Linked DNA regions of Lepisosteus oculatus. The protein of the gene in region 3 interacts with the protein of the main gene of each other region in a biochemical or structural test. Links are inferred from orthologs where the notes say so. Each region holds a gene or a part of one and is shown on either strand. Other genes may lie near its edges. The genes, in order: elf3, srebf1 and med23.

Evidence for each region.
Region 1: the proteins of med23 (region 3) and elf3 form a complex in vitro, tested with the Homo sapiens proteins (4 studies listed by BioGRID, with this or other methods). The link is inferred for Lepisosteus oculatus from reciprocal best matches to the Homo sapiens genes MED23 and ELF3.
Region 2: the proteins of med23 (region 3) and srebf1 form a complex in vitro, tested with the Homo sapiens proteins (2 studies listed by BioGRID). The link is inferred for Lepisosteus oculatus from reciprocal best matches to the Homo sapiens genes MED23 and SREBF1.

The regions. Positions count from the first base shown.
Region 1 is NC_090700.1:40,360,987-40,367,963, reverse strand, and holds the start of elf3 (ETS-related transcription factor Elf-3), read right to left. Parts: upstream 3,043-6,977; 5' UTR 2,871-3,042; intron 2,611-2,870; exon of another isoform or gene 2,571-2,610; intron 1,686-2,570; 5' UTR 1,674-1,685; coding exon 1,514-1,673; intron 683-1,513; coding exon 449-682; intron 134-448; coding exon 20-133; intron 1-19. UniProt on the Homo sapiens protein: Transcriptional activator that binds and transactivates ETS sequences containing the consensus nucleotide core sequence GGA[AT]. Acts synergistically with POU2F3 to transactivate the SPRR2A promoter and with RUNX1 to transactivate the ANGPT1 promoter.
Region 2 is NC_090714.1:17,558,233-17,566,257, forward strand, and holds the start of srebf1 (sterol regulatory element-binding protein 1), read right to left. Parts: upstream 3,017-8,025; 5' UTR 2,764-3,016; coding exon 2,658-2,763; intron 1,681-2,657; exon of another isoform or gene 1,551-1,680; coding exon of another isoform or gene 1,532-1,550; intron 33-1,531; coding exon 1-32.
Region 3 is NC_090697.1:2,620,321-2,627,311, reverse strand, and holds the start of med23 (mediator of RNA polymerase II transcription subunit 23), read right to left. Parts: upstream 3,069-6,991; 5' UTR 2,926-3,068; coding exon 2,875-2,925; intron 2,513-2,874; coding exon 2,481-2,512; intron 579-2,480; coding exon 491-578; intron 72-490; coding exon 1-71. Other genes in the region: interleukin-20 receptor subunit alpha-like, read left to right, coding at 6,401-6,446, 6,925-6,991. UniProt on the Homo sapiens protein: Required for transcriptional activation subsequent to the assembly of the pre-initiation complex. Component of the Mediator complex, a coactivator involved in the regulated transcription of nearly all RNA polymerase II-dependent genes.

The DNA.
Region 1 (6,977 bases), on a different chromosome or scaffold from region 3:
GAACAAAGTCCTCTCGTACCGGGTCCTGGAGCCACAACAACTGTAGGCAGGAGGTTGTAGGTGTCTTCGGCAAAGATTTCCGGGAGGTCAGTGAAGAGGGTGTTCAGAATGTCATTGGTGATGTCATCAACACCTGAAACAGCAGAGAGGCAGTGGTCAGAGACGGTCCCTCTTACTACAGAGCCTCTGCTGGAGCAGGAGCACTAAATCAGACACGCTCCACTCAAGCACTTTGTGTTGCAGGTGTGTGAGGCAGGCTGTCTTGTTGAGGTGATTGTTTCAAACCCGAAAGAAAAGACGTTTTGAGTAAAATTAGTCTGTTTTTTTTATAAAAAGGGTTTATTTCCCTGGAGCCGGGCTCCCTGTGGAGAGTTGCCCAGTTTGCACTGTGCTGTTCATGTGGACTTGAAAGGTCTCTGAGCTCTCTCTGATCCCTGAGGACACTTACTGTTTTTCGCCTTCAGGTCCTGCAGGCTGTGGTACAGTCGGTCCCCCAGTGGCCCAAACATGGAAAGCATCGTGTCCCGGGACATCTGGCACAGCACGGACCCCTCCAGGGTGCAGTAGGCCATGTTCAGGGTGCTGGCGTCGAACTTGGTCTCCTCCACATGGTAGCTGATCCACTCCAGCACGTTCTGCTTGCTCCAGAACTGCGGGTCAGTGTTGTACCACTTGCAGGGGCCTGAAAACCAAGCGCAGACAGGCCTCAGACTCCCTGTCCGAGCAGGTCGTGACCAGACACCTTCCCCCGAGCTCCGCAGCGATTTAAAACACTGGAAACACGGAGTGCTGTTATTTCCTTGTGCTTTCAAACTGTCTTTAACAAAACAGCAGTACAGACTATTGCTGGACACAAACTACTTAGTAGTGAGATGCTGTGACATTGACAGAACACAAAGTAAAAAACTCATCATACATCACTGAGAGAACTATACCTTGTATGAAATTTAAAAACGAGTTAGGAAATGAACATTTCCAGAGCTCCGAAATCCATGCGTGTGGGCTTTAAATTCAGGTCAACAATTATTGGGGGGGATTAATTAATCGGGAAGATTCGTCGAGCTTATGATGGCTCTGGGCGACACTTTGAACAGGAATGCTGTGTCACCAGCCTTGTGCGCGCCATCCCTAACGGCTCTGCACTCGGCTTTCCGGGCTCGATTCCAGGTGTCTTCTCCTGCTAATAAATCCCGCCCTCGTCCCCCCGTGGAGACTCAGGCGCGTTAATAGCTGCGCTTTATGGTTTCGATGAAAGGCAATTAACTGGCACGCGCTTATCGGGAGCCATTAACCTAGTTACTCAAGCTAACAGTCGCTGTGAGCAATCACGGTGGTCACGCTACCTGCGCGCTAATCACGTCTGCAAATAATGTTTGGGGTGCTAAATGTAGTTAAGAAAACAGTGTTTTTTTTCTCTCCCGCTCTTTGATTTTATCGCCAGGCGCCACTGTGATAAGCCTGTTGTTCAGTCTCTGTTGGCGTAGCCGTGTTTGGTGTCTTCACCCTGTCTTACCCAGGAGCTCTGCGGGCAGCTGCGCGCTGGTCAGCAGCTGCAGGGAGTCCTTGCTGTCGCCGAGGGACAGGCTGCCCGCGGGCTGCCCGGGGTCCGAGATCTGATACATGGCGTGGTTGGCTTTGGTGAGGATGCTGCTGAGCTCGCAAGTCGCCGACATCAGTTCTTCCTTCTGCAGTGCAGCCAGTAAGAAAATCAGTTATTACAAGAATTCATACTTCATACAGTCACCGTCTCCACACCAAAGCATTTACAATAACCACACACTAGGCAGCTGAAGTACTGTTAATACCACTTTACAACCGCTATTAATTTATTACTCCAGATATTAAAATTCGCTATCAAATTCAGCCTCAAGTTTGTTTTTTCCTTGACGGGGCTCCTTGACAGGCTTAAAGTTTCTGCTTAAAAATACACCGATTATACATCTGTAAATCGTCTGAAAATTATGCTCGTGCCCTTTGATTAATTGTTTTTAATCAATTGATGTTGGCACTACAGAGCGGACGGAACGGGAATACGGTGAATTAATCTTTTATTTCGAGAAACGCATCCAGACACTGCAATGGGACTGAGATGTCCCGGAATCGCTGATGACACGGTGCATTTAGCAGCTAAAGGAATCGCCCAGGCAGACACTGCATCGTCTCCCATAGCTACTGACTTCGAACTTCATAAACCCGTCGCGTAATTATTTTAGATTGTTTACAAGGTTCTTTCTGGCGCAGCGACACGGACAGCGCTAATTTACATTCTCATTCTCGGAATTCACGAGGATTACATGTGTCATGTATTTCATGACTATTATCAGATCACATTTACATTTCACATGTACTGTGAGATTATTATCTGATTTTTGGGGAAAAAAAACGTTTGCAGACTACAACAATATATAACTAGTTATAAAGAGTTAATACGCGATAATTCCGCAATATGTGTCTATCCTACGTTGTAAATTTTACATAAAAGAGCTGCGATTTTTAATACCTTTGCCTGCGTAATTTTACTTACTATAATGGTGCTTTGTAGAGCTTACTCAATGTTGTTTAATTTTATAGGCAAGGCAAAACTGCTGGCTTGATTCATCTCTCCTCAAGGTAAAATCTTATTTTTTTAATATGTTATCTGGAGTAATTTACAATAAGCAGCCTGAAACTTTATTTTTGCCAGATTTCCTTTCTGAATCCAATATCCTAGCAGTTTGAATCCCTCTAGGATCACGAGAAAGCTCAGTTCTGCTTTTTGCGCAAAAGCGGACACACAGCTGCTGTACCGGAGCATGAGCTGACTCGCATTTACACACACGCACAAGCAGCAGGCATTGGCATGGCAGAGGAAAAGAAACACTTCTCCATACCTGTTGAAACAGGACCAGGCGCCGGACACTAGATCAAACAGAGGGAGGTTAAAAAGCCGTTGAAGAGCGAGAGAAATAATCCAGTACAGGTGATCCCTGTGGCGCTGTTACTCCCCAGATCGCTGCTGTGTTCACGGCCCTGAGTGCACCTGTTTCACCAATACCTGCGAGCTGCCAGCCTCGCTCGCTTTATAGCTCTTGCTGAGGGGGGTGGAGCTCCAGGTGAGCGGGGAATTCCACACCGGGCTGCTCTCCGCTGGAGAGAAGAGACATTTGCATGAAGAACAGGTGCCTGAATAGCTGTGCAGCCACACCTCCTGCACACCACAGGAAAGAAAGGGCAGGGGTAGGATTCAGGATTCAGGGTCTGATATCCCCCCCCCCCCTCCCTAGTCTGTAAAGATCTCCTCTCCCGCCAGAGACAGTGCCGAGTGCGGCCAGGGGACACGCATCTGGAAACAAAGTGGATCTGGTCCATTTCCTCTGCCAGGTTCCCACCCGGCCGCAGCAGCGCTTTGTCTTAATTATTATCCCGACAGGCCTCTCCGTGTCAAGGCCCTCTGAGCTGCCTTCACCAGTTATTTCATTTCTGAGGCAGCTGCTTTCGCTGTCCTTTCTCACCTCCGCCAGCCCGCTACCACCTCTCCTGCCTCCTGCAGTTAAACTTCACAAGATGATGTCACCCTGTCAATAGAGAATGTTGATCAAGGTCCACCGGCCTGGCTGCTGTGCTGCACTGCGCTCCAGTAAGGGGGCCGTTAAAGGACTTTGATTCAGGGTGTGAAAGATGCACAACACATTGAGCACAGGGGGGATTTGGGGCTCAGACATACTGCACTTCTACTGTAAAGCAGAAATACATTTCTTATTTGTTTGCATTTGCCTTAGAAAAGCAATAACGAGACAGAAAACTGGAAGGGATGCTCTATCATTTGAGGCGTTCCTGAGAAGCAGATTCCATCAGCTGGTTCTCTTCTTTCACAGTGCAGATTTGTGTTCGAAGTGCCACTATGAAATGCCCAGCACAGCCCCAGGACATCAGTAGAGCAGGAAGGTGGTGGACTTTGCCGACTAGCACTGAGGGAGTGTGTGTTTAATTTTAGTGCTGCCAAGGGGCTCTTTCTAACTGGTACGTAAATTCCTTATTATTTCCGGAGCGAATGTTGTTGAGGCTGAGCATATGTCAGCTGTAATAGCAGTGTCAAATATTAATTAGCCCTAGTTTCTTTTCCCCTGCAGTGATTTGGAACGCACCAGTGTCTTCCAGTTTGATTCCCAACACAGAGTCTGCTGAGATCTTGTAAATGTTTATTCTAGTCTAATATGATACAAACACGGGAACGATCTGCGATACACAGTGAATCACAGCCACAACAAACACCAAGCTTGGCCAGGCTTGAGAAACAAGAACACCACGAGAACCAGTCAGCACAACCTACTGGGGCACGTTTCCTTCGGGGCTTGGTTCTGAAGAATACACATCAGCCAGTCATATTTAAAAGGTATTTCTGAGTTCGCTGTCAGGGAATGGTAAAAATTTCCTTTGGCCGATGGGGCGAAGGCACAGAATCCTGAGGTGCAGTAAAAGTTGGGACACAACCGGCTAGTCTAGTCAGTACAGCGCAGTAACCAGAGAAACTCCAGGGGTTTTGTAAGCAGATTCCTAGTCAATGCATCTGATGTTTAACCAGCATTCAACCCTGAAGACCCCCTGGGAACAAGAGGGTCCATTGTGTGCATTGCGGGGGCAGCAGACAAAAAGACAAGTTTTTCCAGTTTCCGCAACACTGACTCAATGAGCCTGAACAATAAACAAGCAGCACTGGCTACAAACAAGCAGAGCTGGCTGCTCCGGCAGGCTACAGTACTCACCTTGCACTGCGTCTCCCCTGTCCCGACATGAGGAGACTGCAGGAGCGCGCTGATCTGGGCAGTGCAGGTCCTAGGAGGGACATGGGGGCTTGTGTGTGTATGTGTGGGACCAAACGTCTCATCGTCACATTTTCACTTTTTTACAATTGTTTACAAATGAGTAATGTATTTGTGCTTTAAAGGTGAAGTTTGTTTTAGACCAGAATTATCATCAGTGTTGTTGAAGCCTGCTTTTTGCGAGCATTCACGATTAATCAAACAGCCAGCCACACAAGATAAAGAATGAATTTGTCTGATTCATGTATCCAGATTGCCTTACATTTAAACAGCTGGGGATTTCGCTGGAGCCGCCCGCCTGTGTCAGTGACCTCACTCAAGGTGCAGAGGCAAGGTCCCACCTGGGGGTTGAAACCCATGGCCCTGCAGTTGGAAAACGCAGACCCCTGACCCTCCTCCATGCTTCAGCCTAAATATGGGCCCAATAGAGTAGTCACCTGTCTTGGGCTTTTCACCCCAAATCACAATCTCCCTGACATCACCAGTTAGTCCGACATCTGCCAGCGATGAAACCAGCCCCTCAGGAAGACTGTCCATGAGAGGAGCGAGTGCAGAGCTCCTCTGATACTCACGCACACACTCAGTCTCCAGCACAGCGCCGCTGCGCCACATCGGACATGACCACGGCAGCACTGTCCAACAGCCTGTTTTACAAAAATATAGGCTGTTTGTGTAAGACGTTTGGTAGCCAGTACCGAGGGTTAGGGTTAAGCCTTGGCTTCAATTCCTGGGGTGCTCTCTGTGTGGAGTTTCTATGTTCTCCCTGTGTTTATGTTGTTTTTTTTACCCTGTGTTCACTTGGGTTTCCTCTGTGTGCTCTAGTTTCCTCCCACAGTCCAAAGACATGCTGGTACGTTATTTAGTTTCTATTTAGTTTTGGCCCCGCTGTGAGTGTGAGCACGTGCGTGTTTGTGTCTGTCTGCCCTTTGATGGACTGGCGTCCCGTCCAGTCCTTCGGTTTCCCCAGAACCCTGAAAGAGATGAAGAGGTTGGAAAATAGAGGGATGGAGGAAAGTGAGTCTTCCATTCCAAATCCTCCTTGGCTTTCAAAACGCGGAGGTATGGGTATTGGACCTCAGGGAAGGATTGGTAAGGTGCAGAGTGAGCTCATGGTAACACAGTGACATCGCTAGCCAGCCTGTCAGCCATTACAGCGATAACAAACAATACGTTTTGTGTAGGAAACAATGAAAACTGCAATTAAAAACCCATGCATTAAAATAATTATTAAACCTGAAGGAAATGTATAACAAAGCAAGAAATGAATACAATTATGATATGATCATATTAAATATCATATCATTTTAAAACATTAAGCTTTGGTGAGTGACATAGCTGTCTCACAATGTGGTCACTTAAATTTAGAAAGATTCCAAATAAGGCACAGTCTAGATGGCATTATAGCTCAGGTTTCAGCTATAATTAAGGAACAATATAACTTGCCCGATTGCATTGTAGAGATAATCCTGTCTTTGTGACGTAAATTCTTAGAAAGTTTGCTTAAGACTTACAATAAACAGCACTTAGATTTTCTCATAAGACAAGAATGAGGTAACAGGTGTGTCGTGATCTTTGACCGGATTTGTGCTGCTATCTGGTGTTTGTAAGCAGTCCTGCAGCCATACTGAGGCGATGCATTGAGTTTGCACTTGAGCTAGCCCGGGGTAAATGAGCGGGTGTCTCGTTCTTCCATCTCTGCAGGCTGCACCCCAGGCTGCAGGGTTCAAGAGAAATGTCCTTGAGTAGTCCAGAATGGGTTTTGCAGACTGGTGCTCTTTGGTCTGTGTTCTGTGGAAGTTTGACATATTACAGCGAGCAGTTTGGTCTGTTTTCTGAGTGTGTATAAGTCTGTGTGTGGGGCCACAATGTGAGAATGTGCCCCGCGTGAAGACAGCAACTGCAGACAAACAGATAACATGTAAATGCCCTTTTTATAATACAAACAGCCTCTGCTTTTAAACATTGAAAGTGTCAGAAATAGTTTCAGTGCCGGGAGCTGAGGTCAGTTCCAGGCTGAAAGGCAGTGTTTTGTCTGTAGCGCCTTCTTCAGGTGTGAGAGAGACAGCATGTACAAGGCATGAGGGAGCAGGGGAAGATGGACTTCCCTTCCTCACCCCTCATCACGCCCTGACAGTGGTGGATGGACTTTTCTGAGCAAACAGGCTCTTGCTGGGAATC
Region 2 (8,025 bases), on a different chromosome or scaffold from region 3:
CATGTCCTGGCTGTTGATGAGCTGCAGCATGTCTGCAAAGAGAGAGGTCAGAGGTCAGAGGTCAGATGTCAGCGGTCAGCGGTCAGCGTCACCGGCTCGGGGGGCGAGACAGACAGAGCAGGAGCAAACTGATCGATCAGAACGCGAAACATTGGCAGACCCTCGGACCCCCTGCCTCCAGACAAGCTCCTCTCAACTCCACATCAGAGGAACAATTTCATACTGTGGAATTTTTTTTTTTTAATCTTGCTCTCCAATCTGAAGATGGCTATTTTAATGGCACTGGAACCTTTTGACTGTGCACCCTGGGTGTCTTTACAACACCACTAACAAGCTACAGGGGTGATAACAGAGCTCGTTAAGGCAGAGCCCTGCGGCCAGTCTGGTCACCGTGATGAACGCGATGGCGCCACTTTCACAGGGCAACTGCGCGAATGACTAATCTGATTAGCTGCGAGTTTAGTCTGAACGGTTAACGGGTGGTGCACCACCAGCCCGGACAGCAGGGGCCCAGTGCCGCTCTGCAGACAGGAGTCTCTCTCGGCTCCTCCGCACCTCCGGCGCCGGCCTGGTCCCACCCAGGTCTGCCCCAACACTGGCAAGATCAGCTTCACTTCACTGACTGCCTGAGCAGGTGATTCGCTCAGGTATTTCAACATCCTCTGCATCAAACATCACAGAGCACTCTGCTTATTGGATCGATGGCTCTCCTAGTGTCGCTGACCTTTAGGACACAGGTGATTTAGGGCAACTGCTAGAGCCCAGGATCAGGGCAGGACCCCTGCCTGAGCTAATTCAAGTACCGAACACGTTCAGCAAGAACAGCAGCTCTTATTTACAAACATAGAATGGCTTCAGGCAGCATTCAGCTCCAAAGAGTACCCGAACAGTGTTCTAGCATGAGCAGGAACAGCAGACAGCCAGTGAGCTCACGACAGAAACCTCCTGCACACAGCAGCCCAGAGACTTCGGCTTCATGTGCCGCAGGTCATCAGGAACCGGGAGGCTGCCACTTGTCACTTCAGCAAATACCGCCTGAAAGGAACGGGTAAAGGTTTATTCCGCACTGAAAGGAAAAGAGACACAACGTTTGGCTGTGGAGCCACACGCCTGACGAAACGTTGTGTTTCTGCTCTGTCCTCTCAGCCTGGAATAAACCCTTACCTGTTCCTTTGCAGCCTGCGCATGCTGGCACAGCTCCCTGCTGGAGCTACACTCTGAAAGGCCCAGCACACCTCTTATCAGGTCATACCTGACCCTGCAGCTGGAAAACCACGAAACGGATCACAACAGCTACGGAGTCTCGTGTACGACTGGGTTCACTGCAGTTTCCAAGCTCAGCAAAAGTGCTGGTGCTGTCCAGGACACAGCACCGTCTTTCAGCCAGTATTGTAGGTGTGAAGGAAAGATGACATACGTCTGTCCACACAGAGGCTTCCCAAGAACAAGCTAATTCCAGCAAGAGACCGCGAGATGCAGCACACAGGTGCGCTGGAAACAGACAGAGAGCCACAGGAACATTAACATTTACCTTCTAAAGTGCAGTCCATACTGCCAGCCAGTGTGAAAGCTGTCTGCTCAGCTGCGAAATCACAAACTCCTCAAGAGCTGCGCGCATCCCCGTGTCCAGAGGGAGCTGAACGTCCTCCCCGCACGGGCCGGGCCGTCAAGCCCACAGAGGAGCACAGCTCCCGTCGGACACGCCTCCCTCACGCCCGCGGGGGGCCGGGCGGTGCGAGCCGTGTTTTGGTATGAGGTGATCGCTCGCAGCCAATGGGACGCGGGCTGGGCGCCTGGCTATGCGGGCCTGCCCCCGGGACACGGCGAGAGAGCCAGCGTGTCTGAGCCCACGGTGTCCCGGGCTGCAGGGTGAACGACCGGGGTTACTATCGGGCAGCGTGTGCGTCTGCTCAGGCGGCGGGGTTACTCGCGGTCATGCACACCCCCCGACAGAAACACGGCGACGAAGCAGCTTCTCCCACGCAGGTCGCGTCACCAGGGGGAGAATAAGAACAATCGCCCTGTAACGCGACAGCGGGACCGAGAAGGAATCGTTTAAGAAAGGCGGTCTCCTGAACACCGCGGGAGCGTGCCCCGGGCCGTGTTCAGCGGACAGGGTCCCCCCTGCAGGCTCGATGACCGGCCCCTGCAGGAAGCCCCCCCCGGGAGACCGCGGCTTTGTAATGAAAGCGGTGCAAATCGTTCAGTGTCTCCCCCGGCCCTGGGTGAGAGAAACACGCGGGTGAACTCCGGGCGGGGGAATGCACGAGAGTAACCCCCGCGTGACGCCACGCGCAGCAGCCAGGGGGGGGCGGGGCGCTCGAGAGCAGAGAGCAGCCCTGCTCCGGACGCTTTGGGGGGCTGGACCCCCGCACTGAGATACCCCAATAACCCGCCTCCCTGCGCCCGGCACCCCGCGGGCCCTGAGCTCGTCTGTCCGAAAGCGCCCCACGGCCCGAGGCAGAGGGGGGTCTCTGGGCTGCTGTGCGCGCAGGGGGACATGTCGCTGCGGACCCCACTGCCAGCCAGACTGACCACAGCTGCGCCGACAGGACAGGCGCGGTGCCCGAGCAGCAGTCCCGGCACTGACAGTCGTGCGAGGCTGCAGCCGGGGTCCGGCTCGGGTCCGGCTCGGGTCCGCACGCCTGCGGGCTTACCGTCGATGTCGCTGAGCAGCGCGGTGTCGATCTCACTGGGCTCATGAAGAGACAGGCTGGGGTCCAGGTGGTCCAGCGACGGGTCGTCAAAGGGCAGGCCGCTCATTTTCGGTTGTTTCTTTTTAACAAGTGTATTCGCAGTTATCCCGAGTTATCACGTGGAAGTTTCCATTAAAATACAACATAAAAAATAAACACAGAAAAGTCCCGTCTGGAGGGGGGGGGGGAGCCCCCCAGAGACGGCAGTAAAGAGTGAAATCAAACTTTGTGACTGATGCGTCTGTCTACTCGCTGCTCTCCTGCTCCTCCATGCTGAGCGCTCACGGTAAACTTGTCCAAACACTGAGCGGAGCGACACCCTAGCCTGCTGGCTGGGAAGCCCCAGACGCACCGCCCCGCAGCTCCGTGACGACCGCGGACTGACGGCGCTCCCGGCCAATCAGCGGCAGAACAGCGGCCATGTGCGGTCTGGCCAGGAGAGGGGGGTGTGTTTCTCACCTGCCCCCCCGAAAAACAGCTGTATCTCTTCTCACCGGTCCAGCCTCATGCATAATAACTGGGAATATTTCTTTACAGATCTGGTACCTCATTTTATTCTGCTTTCTGCCTTTTCATAGTTTTTCTGCTTCTACAGACACCCTCTGACCTCTCTCACTCGCAGCTGCCCGGCCCTTCCCCTGGGAGTGCAGTGTGATGGCTGGGCTCTCCTCTCCCGCTCGCCCGGGACCCTGAGGCTCAGGGGGTGGGTCATTGATGACTGTGGTGAGCTCAGGGCAGGAGCGGCCTGAGAGACCTGTTGCAGGAACAGAGTGGGAGTCACTGAGCAGGGTCTGTGTGCTGGATCACACTGCAGTGCCTGAGGGGGTTTAGTCAGGGTTTAGTGAGTCTCCTGCATCAGCAGCTCAGTTTGGTGACTGTGTGATAACCAGCTCTGCCCCAGGGCCCAACAGCAGTGCGGCTCTATTCTTGAGCTCGGCACCAGGCTGCCATGTGGGATAGGGTCTCTGCCTTGTATGGAAGAAGTGGGTTTTTAATCTGGCACGCCTTGTGGCAAAAGCTATTCTTAATCAGCAATAAAACTAATGTAATTACAGATATTATTATATATTGTTTAAGCCTTTTATCAAACCCCTGCTATGTTTGTGTACCTTTAAAATGTACTACAAAAAAAAATATCTGTTCGCTCACAATCAGTGATAAAAGTCTTCATTTGCTCGGGTCAGGCAGTCGCAGGGCAGCACGGTCCCAGAGTGTACTAAGAACTATGGACTCAACTTCCACGTGGACAGGTGATATTCATGCTAACCGAAGCCGCATCCTGAACAGGCCATGAGCACACAGCCAGCGAGCGGAGCAGCTTCCCAGAGACACAAGCGGCGGCTGCCGCACAGGCGAGCCCCTGTGGGCGTGTCCCCGCCAGCCAATGGGGAGCGGCCGCAGGCGGGACTGCGCGCAGTCAAGTTTGTTGGAGTCGCAGAGGCGGCCCCGCCTGTAGAACCAGCGGCCCCGACCAATGAAAAGCGGCGCACAGTGTGGGGTGATCTGACGTCACAGCTGTGGCTCTGCGATTACATCACGTAATCCTTGCTGGACGGGCGCAGCTCGTTTTCCAGTTTTTCCGGGGGGTAACTTTTAGCACAGGAGGTTTAACACCCGCTAGGAAAGGACTCCCCAGAACAGATCGATTGCAAAAAAAAAATATTTGCTGTTTGTCTTAGTGAGTATGGAGACTTTTACTTTCAATACAAGGAGGGCAGCTCTAAATAAGTTTTAAAGTGTTTGTTAGAGGAAACTCATGCAAACACGGGGAGAACATGCAGACTCCACACAGACAGCACCTTGGGTCTGGAATTGAACGCGGGGGCCCAGAGCTGTGGGGCAGCGATGCTGACCACCCTTTCGAAATGTCCTCCTCTTCCTAACGGAGCAAAGCTTTATTAACTGGTGTTGACCAAGTTCATCAGAGGAGGAACAGCAATGGAATTCGCTTTACAGGGATCACACTGACGTTTTTATTTGGGTTGAGATGTAAGTTTTTTTCAGAGGGACATTTGGCAATTCTGCAAGGGTTAAGTGGCTCATTTTCCAAAGATTCATTAAAACTAAGTTTTAAAAGGACGTAAAAAAAGATCTTCCTTCACCCAAGTTAGCATACAAGGGTTAAAGCTTCCTACCTAAGCAGCTATGCAATAGTCAGGCAATATTAAGGCCAGGATCAGTTTGCATTTTTAGTTTCTAAGTTTTTCAGTAATCCTTCTGTTCTTTATTCCTAATAAATATTTAAGCTATTTCAACACAAATTAAAGCTGAAAGATTTTGCTGTGGTTGTTCAAGTACTAATTCTACTGTACAATATAATGTCAGTTGTGATGTTTTACATAAAAGTTTACATTTAACATTTAATTGGCACTATTTTATGGGTTCACAGTTATTTTAAGGTTTCAGATTCCTAGAATTGTGATAGGAAATGTGTTCTTCAGGTTATGCAGTAATTGGAACACCAGCCTACACTTACACAGGTACAGTATTTCCAAGCAAGAACAACAGAGACCGGAATGTACAGATCACACTGGTAGTGTTTTATTGGAGTTTAACACATGCAAGAGTTCGTACAGCACAGCGCGAAACTTCGGTAACAGCAGCAGTAAGGACAGGCCATTACACACACATGACAAGACTGTTCTCTCTGGGTCCCTGCTGCCCTAAGGGTAAGCTCAGGTGCAGAACTCAGGAAGCAGGCAGAACAGCTTCCAGAATGCACCTGACACCTTCAGGTGAGTCAAGACCTTCATCCAGCCACTTTCACTTCCAAGATTCTACCCCCTGACGTCAGGCACAGAACTGTTTTCAGTTACACAGAACATCATTAGGTGCATTAAACAAAATCAGCACAATGTGTTAACTTCCGTGTCAAAAGACATACTGTATTTGCGAAGATGTGTATCAATTTCTCAAAACGTACGTAACTCCCAGGAATCTTGTGCTGTTTCTCTTTTTAACACCACTGGTTAACTCTGCAACACAAACATTTACCAGCAAATGATGAATTCTGTTAAAAAACTGATAGACAAAAATACGCCCAGAGATGTCAGATATTACATTTTAAGGAGAACCAAAGTGATTTGAAGTTTCTCAGAACATCAGCGCACTCTCCAGGCTCAAACTGCGTAGCACAGACCACTAGGCTCAAATAAAAGGAAATAAGCAGTTACACTTCTATATGTCAGTTTAGTCTTGTAGATATCACAGCTCCTCAACTCTGTTGCAAGGTTAAAAGCTAAGGTACATTACTTTTTTCAAATAAAAAAAAAAACAAAACAAAATTAGATCCAATAAACTTTGTGGAAGAGTGCGACCCAGCTAGTGCACACAAACATGAAGAGTTATACACATTTAACACAAATACAAGAACCTTTCATTTCTTTCTTTTTAATCTTGTAAAACATTTTCCCTAATGCTGATACTTGCAAAGAATATTAAAAACAATAAATTAATCTTATTAAAAGATTTTCTAATGTTCTAAGTGATTACAGATATAAAGATAAATGTCTCAGCTGCAAGCAACCAGAATGATTTTTATAGAGCTCTCTATAATAAAAGTTAAAATTAGGAACTTTTCTGATAGTGTTATATCTTTTATCTCAGCAAAAATGGATTTACAATACACTGTACAAGAAATTCATGTCTGCAAAGTTAAGAAGCATGTTGGAAAAGAATGAACAGCCCAGGAACTAATTTCTTTCCTGCTTCTGATTTTCATTTATTACAAATGCTACAAGCCTACATGCTACATGTGGCACTACTGCTGCATCTCCACAGTAGCCACAGTCACTATGGCAAAACGCCTGTTCTTCAATACCATGACTGAAGAGTTATGGCCCAAAAAGCTGTGAAAAAGACAGACTGTTCGCTATGTTTAGCACAGCTGTAATGATTATCTACACTAAACCCACAGCCCACCTCAAATCATCGCTTAATGACATTTTCATCTCATTGCTTTTTTACCACCTGATCCGCATTTTGAGTTCTAAGGCTTTTAGCTTGATGTACAATTTCTCTATTTAAGCATTCTTCTCTTAGAACCACAAAACTCAGATACCTCTCCTAAAATACATATTTTACTTTTCATACACTGATAGACCCATGTGTTACTGTGTAAGGGACTACATCTGAGGACGTTTTGATATTGGACACACAGGGCATTTTGTTCAGTACTTTTAATTGTTTTCCCTCAAAGACGTCATTTATGACACAGTTCAAGAAACACTGGTGACACCACCAACTAAGACAGCTTTGCGGTGTTCTCTTATATTAAAATGTATACAGTACATCAATAGCTTATCTTCCACTATCCAATTTAATAGTTCTGTTACAATTAACACACGTTAATAAATAGCTGAAATGCACATCTATTTTAGCATCGTCTCTTATTTCATGCTCAAATAGATCTAACTCTGTGGATAAACATCTACAGTAGAGCACACTGCTTTAATGCTATTTCTTAAGGTTTCCAAGTACATCGGCACAATATCAGTCTGTTATCTAATCAGTATTTCCCAGCTCTGGTATATCCATACTTTGTAAATCCACATATTCCATACGGACTGAGTCTAGGTGAAAGGTCAGAATGCACTCTGACTCAGTGAAGACAGTACAGTAGGGATGGTCGACACAGCAGTGATGCAAGTGTGCTTTCAGGCAGTGAAGGGTAAAGCTCATCATTATCACTTATTGCCCATTTCCTAGGTTTCACAGTCCTGCACAGAAAGATACTCTCCTTTGAAACTTTTTGTTAAATCTTCTGCAGAATGGTTAATCTGTCATTTCTCTGCTTCACCCTGGTGTAGAAACCACGCCCCAAGCCTCTGCTTACATCTCCCTGGCTTTCCCATCTAAAAGCATCTCAGGCTGGTTTGTCCTTTCCACTGACATGAATCCACTTTGCACAAAACCTTTAAAAATAGCAGGTCAAGAGTCCAGAAAGAATTACAGATGGTAGTTGTGTAATCTCATCTACGTCTACTGAAACACTGCCAACTGACAGGCTTCAAAACAGGGAAAATATTTTTCTTTTAAAAATAATTAATCACATTTATACAAATGTCCCCTTTAAAATTCACACCGAGAAATCCCACAAGACTATTTAATGGGAATAGGCTAGACCCTAATATATAACAAAACCCCTTTCAAACTCAATTAGATAAAATATCTGATGCTTTGACACAACTGTTGTCAAACAAAGGAAACTGCCCTGGCTCCTCTTCAGAATTATTTTTCTCTGTGAAAACAAATCTTGTGCTAAATATTTAAGAGTGCATTTAAAACACTGAGGCTGGAGATGTAGGTGCCCTGTGTACCATGGCTTTTC
Region 3 (6,991 bases):
GAGATCCTCTTGGGGCTGTGCTGGCCATGAATGAATCGCACAATCCACTGTACACACTGGTCGTGGGAATCCTGTAAGAAGAATGTTAGCACATCCAAGGTTCAGAAAAATAACTGTACTTTCCAAAACCTAACTGGGATCCATGCGCAATCCCAGTGTTCCACAGAGAACCAATAATGAGCGATTTAGGAAGAAGTACTGATCAGACTGGGGACTGACTGTGCGATTCTTCATCCAACACAAATCTTCTTTGTTCTAGACACGCTGTTACAGCAGAGATATTTCACAGTCCTGATACACTAGCTCATTTAAAATTGTGGCCATTATATAACACTGCTTATTTCCTCTGGTGGTAAAACTACATGTCCCCACTTTAAAAATGAAATTGTACGCAAAGATAAACCATTTTATATATAATAGTGTTCAGCAAATAATCAGAGATACTGTATGAGAAAGACAGGCAGCCATTCAGCTCCAGGTTATGTCTCACCTGGGGAAGAGTGCTCCAGTACTGCCGAAAGGCACCAAGACAGCTGACCAGCTTTGTTTGCTCATCTTCTGGATTGTCCATAAACATACTGTAAGAAATTGAAGCTGCAATGTTTCACTGTGGAAGAGTCACTTTGCATTGCAAATTGCAAAAAAAAGGACTGGGAACAATGACAACCTGTAACAAAACATTTGGCTTACATTTTGAGCTCACAGACTAAAAATGTTTACACCCGAAGAAGGTTCCACAGCCGAAACACTGTGCTTTCTTCTCTTTTCTGCATGGAATAAACCTTTACTTGTTCCTTTGCAGCCTACGCATGTTGACACAGATACTGTACCCATCTGAACTAAAAATGAACTAAAAATAGTTTTAATATGAAAAGTACAATATTTAAACGCATTCTTTAAGGAATACAATTTTACAGTGCCTAATATCAACAGAAGCCAAAATGCTCGAAGCTTGTTGTACAACAGGTTTTTTTCTGTTGCAGTGATTTGGAATGCTCCCTTTCTGGAGTCATATTTATGAGGGGTCTATCCCCTTGATTATTTATACAATAAAAAAAGGTGCTGAACTACAAGCTTATGGCTTCAAAACACATCAGCCATTTCCATTTGAATTCCCCCACAATGAAAGAGGGAGATCCTCCTGAGATATGAAGGTAGAAATACTCTATCATGCTTTCATATGAGAAGCCTTATTTTTTTACTGTTCTTCCTGTTATTGAACTAATCTTTGTATCATTGCAATGCTAGAATTGCTTTTAATTAAGATTTCCGTTTTTATTTTATACATGATCACAGAGCTATAATTAGCTAACAACTTTGAATTCATAGGAAAATGAATGCAGCAGAAACTATCTTCAAATATAGATAAAACTCACAAAACCAATGCATGCTTATCTGGTTTTGTGTATATTTACACTCATAACACGTCTTTTAATACAACTACATGAGGTTCTAATTCATTCATGTTCCCATAAAAATCTATTAACCAAGGTACACAGTTCCAGAAAATAATAATAATAAACTTTATTTCATAGTTCAGGTGGGTAGCTGCGTCAGCATGCGTAGGCTGCAAAGGAACAAGTAATAGGTTTATTCCATGCTGAAAAAAAGAAGAGAGAAAACACAACATTTCGGCCGTGGAGCCTTCTTCAGGTGTGAAGGAGCCTTCTTCTTCACACACCTGAAGAAGGCTCCACGGCCGAAATGTTGTATTTTCTCTCTTCTTTATTTCAGCATGGAATAAACCTATTACTTGTAACTTTATTTTATATAGCGCCTTTAAAGGTGGCTTCTCAAAGAACTTTACAGAATGACAACAACAATAAATAAAAAGAATACACAAGACAAAGCACAATTACAACACACAGAAGAGACCATGAATGGTGGTACTAAGAAAAGCAAAGGGGTGAAGAATGGAACCAGTTAAGTAAAGCTCTTCTAAAGAAAAAGGTTTTGAGTCTGGATTTGAGGGAGTTTAGAGAAGTTGACTCTGATATCCTTTGGGAGAGAGTTCCAGAGCTTGGGGGCATAACAAGAGAAGGCCCTGTCACCCATAGAGTGTAGATGGACTTGGGAGACAGTAAGGAGAGCAGAATTAGAAGAGCGAAGGTTGCAAGGTGGGGGGTAGGGCGATAATACTTCAGACAGGTACTGAGGTGCCAAGCCATGCAGAGCCTTGTAGCTGAGCATGAGGATTTTAAAGTCCACATGGAATTTGACAGGAAGCCAGTGCAAGGACTCCAGGATAGGAGTAATTTGAACACTTTCACTAGACCTGTTCAGGATTCTGGCTGCCGAATTTTGGACATACCGCAGTTTGTTCAATGTAGATTTAGATACCCCAGCGAGTAATCAATTTGGGAGAAGACAAATGTATTGATCACCTTTTCAGCCACAGATAGTGATAACATAGTACAAAAGTATAAATTATTGCAAATACAAGCGCTAGATTTATAAAAGTAGCTGTATAAAGTGCTTACCCAGCAAATGCTTCTTCTATGAACTCCGTTTTCTAAAAAGAAAAAGTCATAAAGTGAGAAGTTTAAATGTAGAATTGTACGACAAAATAACTTTGAGTTGCATTTAAGTTTAGGTTTAAATATTAATTTTAATGTCAAATACGAAACAATCGCCTTTCATTTCTCTGCAGGATCTGCATCAATTCTGTTATGAAAGTATCGAGCTCATGAATTACCACTCAGGAAAGATACAACCACAATGCTACCGGAAACAAATTTTAAGAAAATAATATTAAAAGATGTTATAAGGAAAAATCAAAGTAAAACAGAAATTAAAAGCACTTTAAGAAAGCAAATAAAGACAATTAAAAATCTTCGATTTGGTGAACGTGAAATTTAACAAAGGAAATCGTACCACAACGTCTTCAAAAATGCTTTGGAGCTGGGTTTCCATTGGTATGGCCATTTCTCTAAAATATTCGTCCTACGAATCTGAAAATATAAAAGTTTCCCTGTCATGCAAATACATCACGATGTTTTTTTCCTGCTTAACAAAATTACAGATCCAATATTCAACAATGCATATCTACACAGGAAGTGGTGCTTCCTTCAAAATAGTCCGAACAAACACATCGAGGCTTTACTATTAGTTCCTAGAATAGAATACCGATGTACCACACAGCGAATGATTGTATTGTCTTATCCTGATGTTTCTTGAAGGAAGCCAGGTTATTTGCTTCAACAGCATAGCTGGCTTGTTCCACACTCCTGTACCCCGCAGTGTACAGACCTCCTGTTCTCCGTTTTAAATGCACTTTCCAGTGATTGTTGTATTTCTTTTCCATAATTGTGTGTAAGAGGGATGTCTTAAAAAGAGGACCTCTAGCCACACAAGTTTAAAAAGTCTCTGCCTATGTCCAGCATACAAACTCCAGAAATTAATCATCTCAAAATTAGACAGCGGGGCTTCTACATTGCTGCCACCCAGATACAAAAAACAATAACTTAACTGTTGGATAAAACATTGTTGACTGGCATTTCAGGCCATAACATGATCATATTAACTACAGATGGTTGAAATAATAGTAGATTAAACAATTGGTACAGTTCAAGAATTACATTTATTATTGTGATAATAATCAACTTTCTTTTATATAATATTATCTTAAAGTAATACATTATCTTAAAGTTAGTTTGTCTTTCCATTTCATCATTTATTTATTTTTAATAAAGACAATACCAATAAGCCAGCAGCTATTAGCCCCCTTCAGCTCTCAACTGGCAGTCCACTGGCGTCCTGCCCAGGGTGTACCCTGCCTTGCGCTCATTGCCTGCCCGGTAGGCTCCAGCTTCCTGCGACACAGTATGGTATAAAGCGGTTTGGCAAATGAAATCATAATATCTATTCTACGGGTGAAAATCCGTAAGGCTGCAGGGCCTGATGGGATACCACCTCGCGTCCTGAGGACATGTGCAGCCCAGCTGACCACAGTGTTTACAGACATCTTTAACTCCTCCCTGTCACAGTCCATGGTCCCCACCTGCTTTAAAAAAAACACTATTGTTCCAACCCCCAAAAAGACAAAAGTGACATGCCTGAATGATTACCGCCCAGTAGCATTAACATCTGTGGTGATGAAATGCCTGGAGAAGCTGGTGTTGTCACACATCAACTCCTCCATCACAGAGTCCCTGGACCCCCTGCAGTTCGCCTACCAGAACAACAGATCAGTGGATGATGCTGTCTCCCTGGCTCTGCATACAGCCTTGGAACACCTGGACACTAAGAACTCGTATGTGAGAATGCTGTTTGTGGACTACAGTTCAGCATTTAATTCCATCATACCCTGTCAACTGGTGACAAAGCTCAGGGGATTAGGTCTGTGCAACTCTGTCTGCAACTGGCTGCTGGACTTTCTTATCGAGAGACCACAGGTGGTGCGGATAGGCAATAAAACATCAACACCACTCACCCTGAGCACTGGAACCCCACAAGGCTGCTGTCTGAGTCCAAGGTTGTACTCCCTATTTACTCACGACTGCACAGCAAGACACAGCAATAACCGCATCATCAAGTTTGCCGATGACACCACTATAATAGGACTGATCAGTGATGATGACGAGTCCACTTACAGGGATGAAGTTGTACAGCTGCTTAGGTGGTGTCATAGCAATAACCTGGACTTGAACATAAAGAAAACGAAAGAGCTAATAGTGGACTTTCAGAGACACAGGCCACACACTCACAGCCCACTAAGTATTGATGGAACGGAAGTGGAAACAGTCACCAGCTTTAGGTTTTTGGGAATTCACATCTCTAAAGATCTAACCTGGACTGTGAACACTGACTCTATCATGAAGAAGGCTCAGCAGCGCCTTTATTTCTTGAGGTGCCTCAAGCGATGGGGGATGCCAATACATGTGTTGGTGAACTTCTATCGCTGCACTATCGAGAGCGTCCTCACCAACGGGATCACCGTGTGGTATGGCAACACCTCTTCGCGAGAAAGAAAGGCACTGCAGAGAATGGTCAATATGGCCCAGAAGATCATCGGCTGCGGTCTCACCGAGATTAAACAGCTCTATGAGGACCCCTGCCGTGGTAGAATTCTGGCCATCACAGAGGACAGTCACCACCCAGGGCATGAGCTCTTCACCCCACTGCCCTCAGGCAAGAGATATAAGAGCATACGGACACTTACCACTAGATTCTTCAATAGCTTCTATCCACAAGCAGTGAGACTGGCGAACACATTTAGCCATCCCCCTCGGACCACACCTACACCATCACCATCTACCTCGTTGTAATTTATTAATTGTACGTCTCCAGTCATTGTTTACACGTCTGTATTGTTTACATTCAAACTGTCTGCATGTTTACTTGCACATTGTCTATTGTTTGTTTGTACATTGTCTTGATGCACTGTTTGCACTTTGTTTTGTTTTTTACACTTGTTTTATAATCGAGAGACTTTCTGTAAGTAAGAATTCCATTGTACCAGTACCGGTTACATATTGCAATAAAGTTCAAGTTCAAGTTCAAGTTCTATTTATGACCAATTTTTAAGAAATTCAAAACAATGGAGAGAATAATTGAATTTGTGGCTAGGGGACTTTTATTGATATATGATCCCGTGAATCTTCCCTTTTTCTGTCACCTGCATCCATACAGAGGAAGCTCTGTTCTTCTGGTACTTCTACATTCTTCTCTGTAAAGAGGAAGATAACTGTTTTTGTAATGAGAAGTGTTTAACATGAAAGCCACAGCATCATGACACACAAAACAGCTGAAAGTTATTACTTCAGCTCAACAAAGTACTTAATTTTGGTCATATAAGAAACATTTTTTCTCTAGCTTAGGACAAAATAGGACAAGATTTCCATCATCATCAGCAGCAGTAGCAGCAGCTGCAGCAGCAGCATCATCATCATTGCTTCTCTTTTACTGTAGAAGTTTGCCCAGATGTATTTTGACTTTTGTGTAATGTATTTTAAATATGAACATCTTATCTTTCCTGAAGGATTACTGCAGATTGCAACAAAATCTCCCTCCATTTTTACTAACAAAACAAATTTGTTCAAACAACTGTAGAAATAAACTGAAATGACTTTCAAATATTAAGAAGCATATATTTTAATTTAATTGATTCATGCTACAAAATGTTCAAAGCAAAGAGTGAGATGACAGGAATATAGATTTCTTTTCTTTTACTAGGGAAGCATATCAACAGAAAGAATCAGAAAGCAGAAATGTTCACTTGTTTATTAGGTTTATTATGCAAATCATTTTGGCACAGAGAGGAGGAGGATGAGGGAATTCGATTGGTCGAATAAAAGAATTGAGGAACTTCTAGACAGTACGAAAATACTACATATATACAGTACCACCAAAATGCGGCATTTAGAGATTCTGTAAATCAAGGCATAGTGTGAAGACAAATATGTTTCTGCATTGTCTAACACTGATTGTTATTCTCAGAGAACTTGGTGAGTAGCCATTATCCTTAAATCAAAATTAAGTAAAGTAAATATTTACTGTATGTATCTCATATCTGTTGTTTTCACTGAACTATTAACAATGGTGAAAACTATTATTTGAACAGAAAAATATTTTGTTATGCTTATACTGAACATTAAAAACATTTTATATAATATATTTATAAGATTTTAAGTATATTATTTTCTGTTGTTTGGATCAGGTTAAATGTTTAATTCAGATACTTAAAGACCAATTTCTTGACTAGGTTTTATTTATCTGCGAGAACCGGAAATCCTATACAGAGTTAAATCTGTAAATCCATCCTTGCATCCCATAGTTTCAGGACTCCAGACTGCCGCACTAGGAACAGTATTGGATTACTTTTAAACATTGTTATCATAAGTATATGCTATCCTATATACATATGTTTTACCATATACAGTTAATGAGTTTTTTACTTGTTAAAATGTATTGTGTTCCCTCTAGGTGCTTCACCAACTGAAGACTCTTTAAAGCCTGATCATGTTACATTTTCAAATAGAAACCTGAAAAG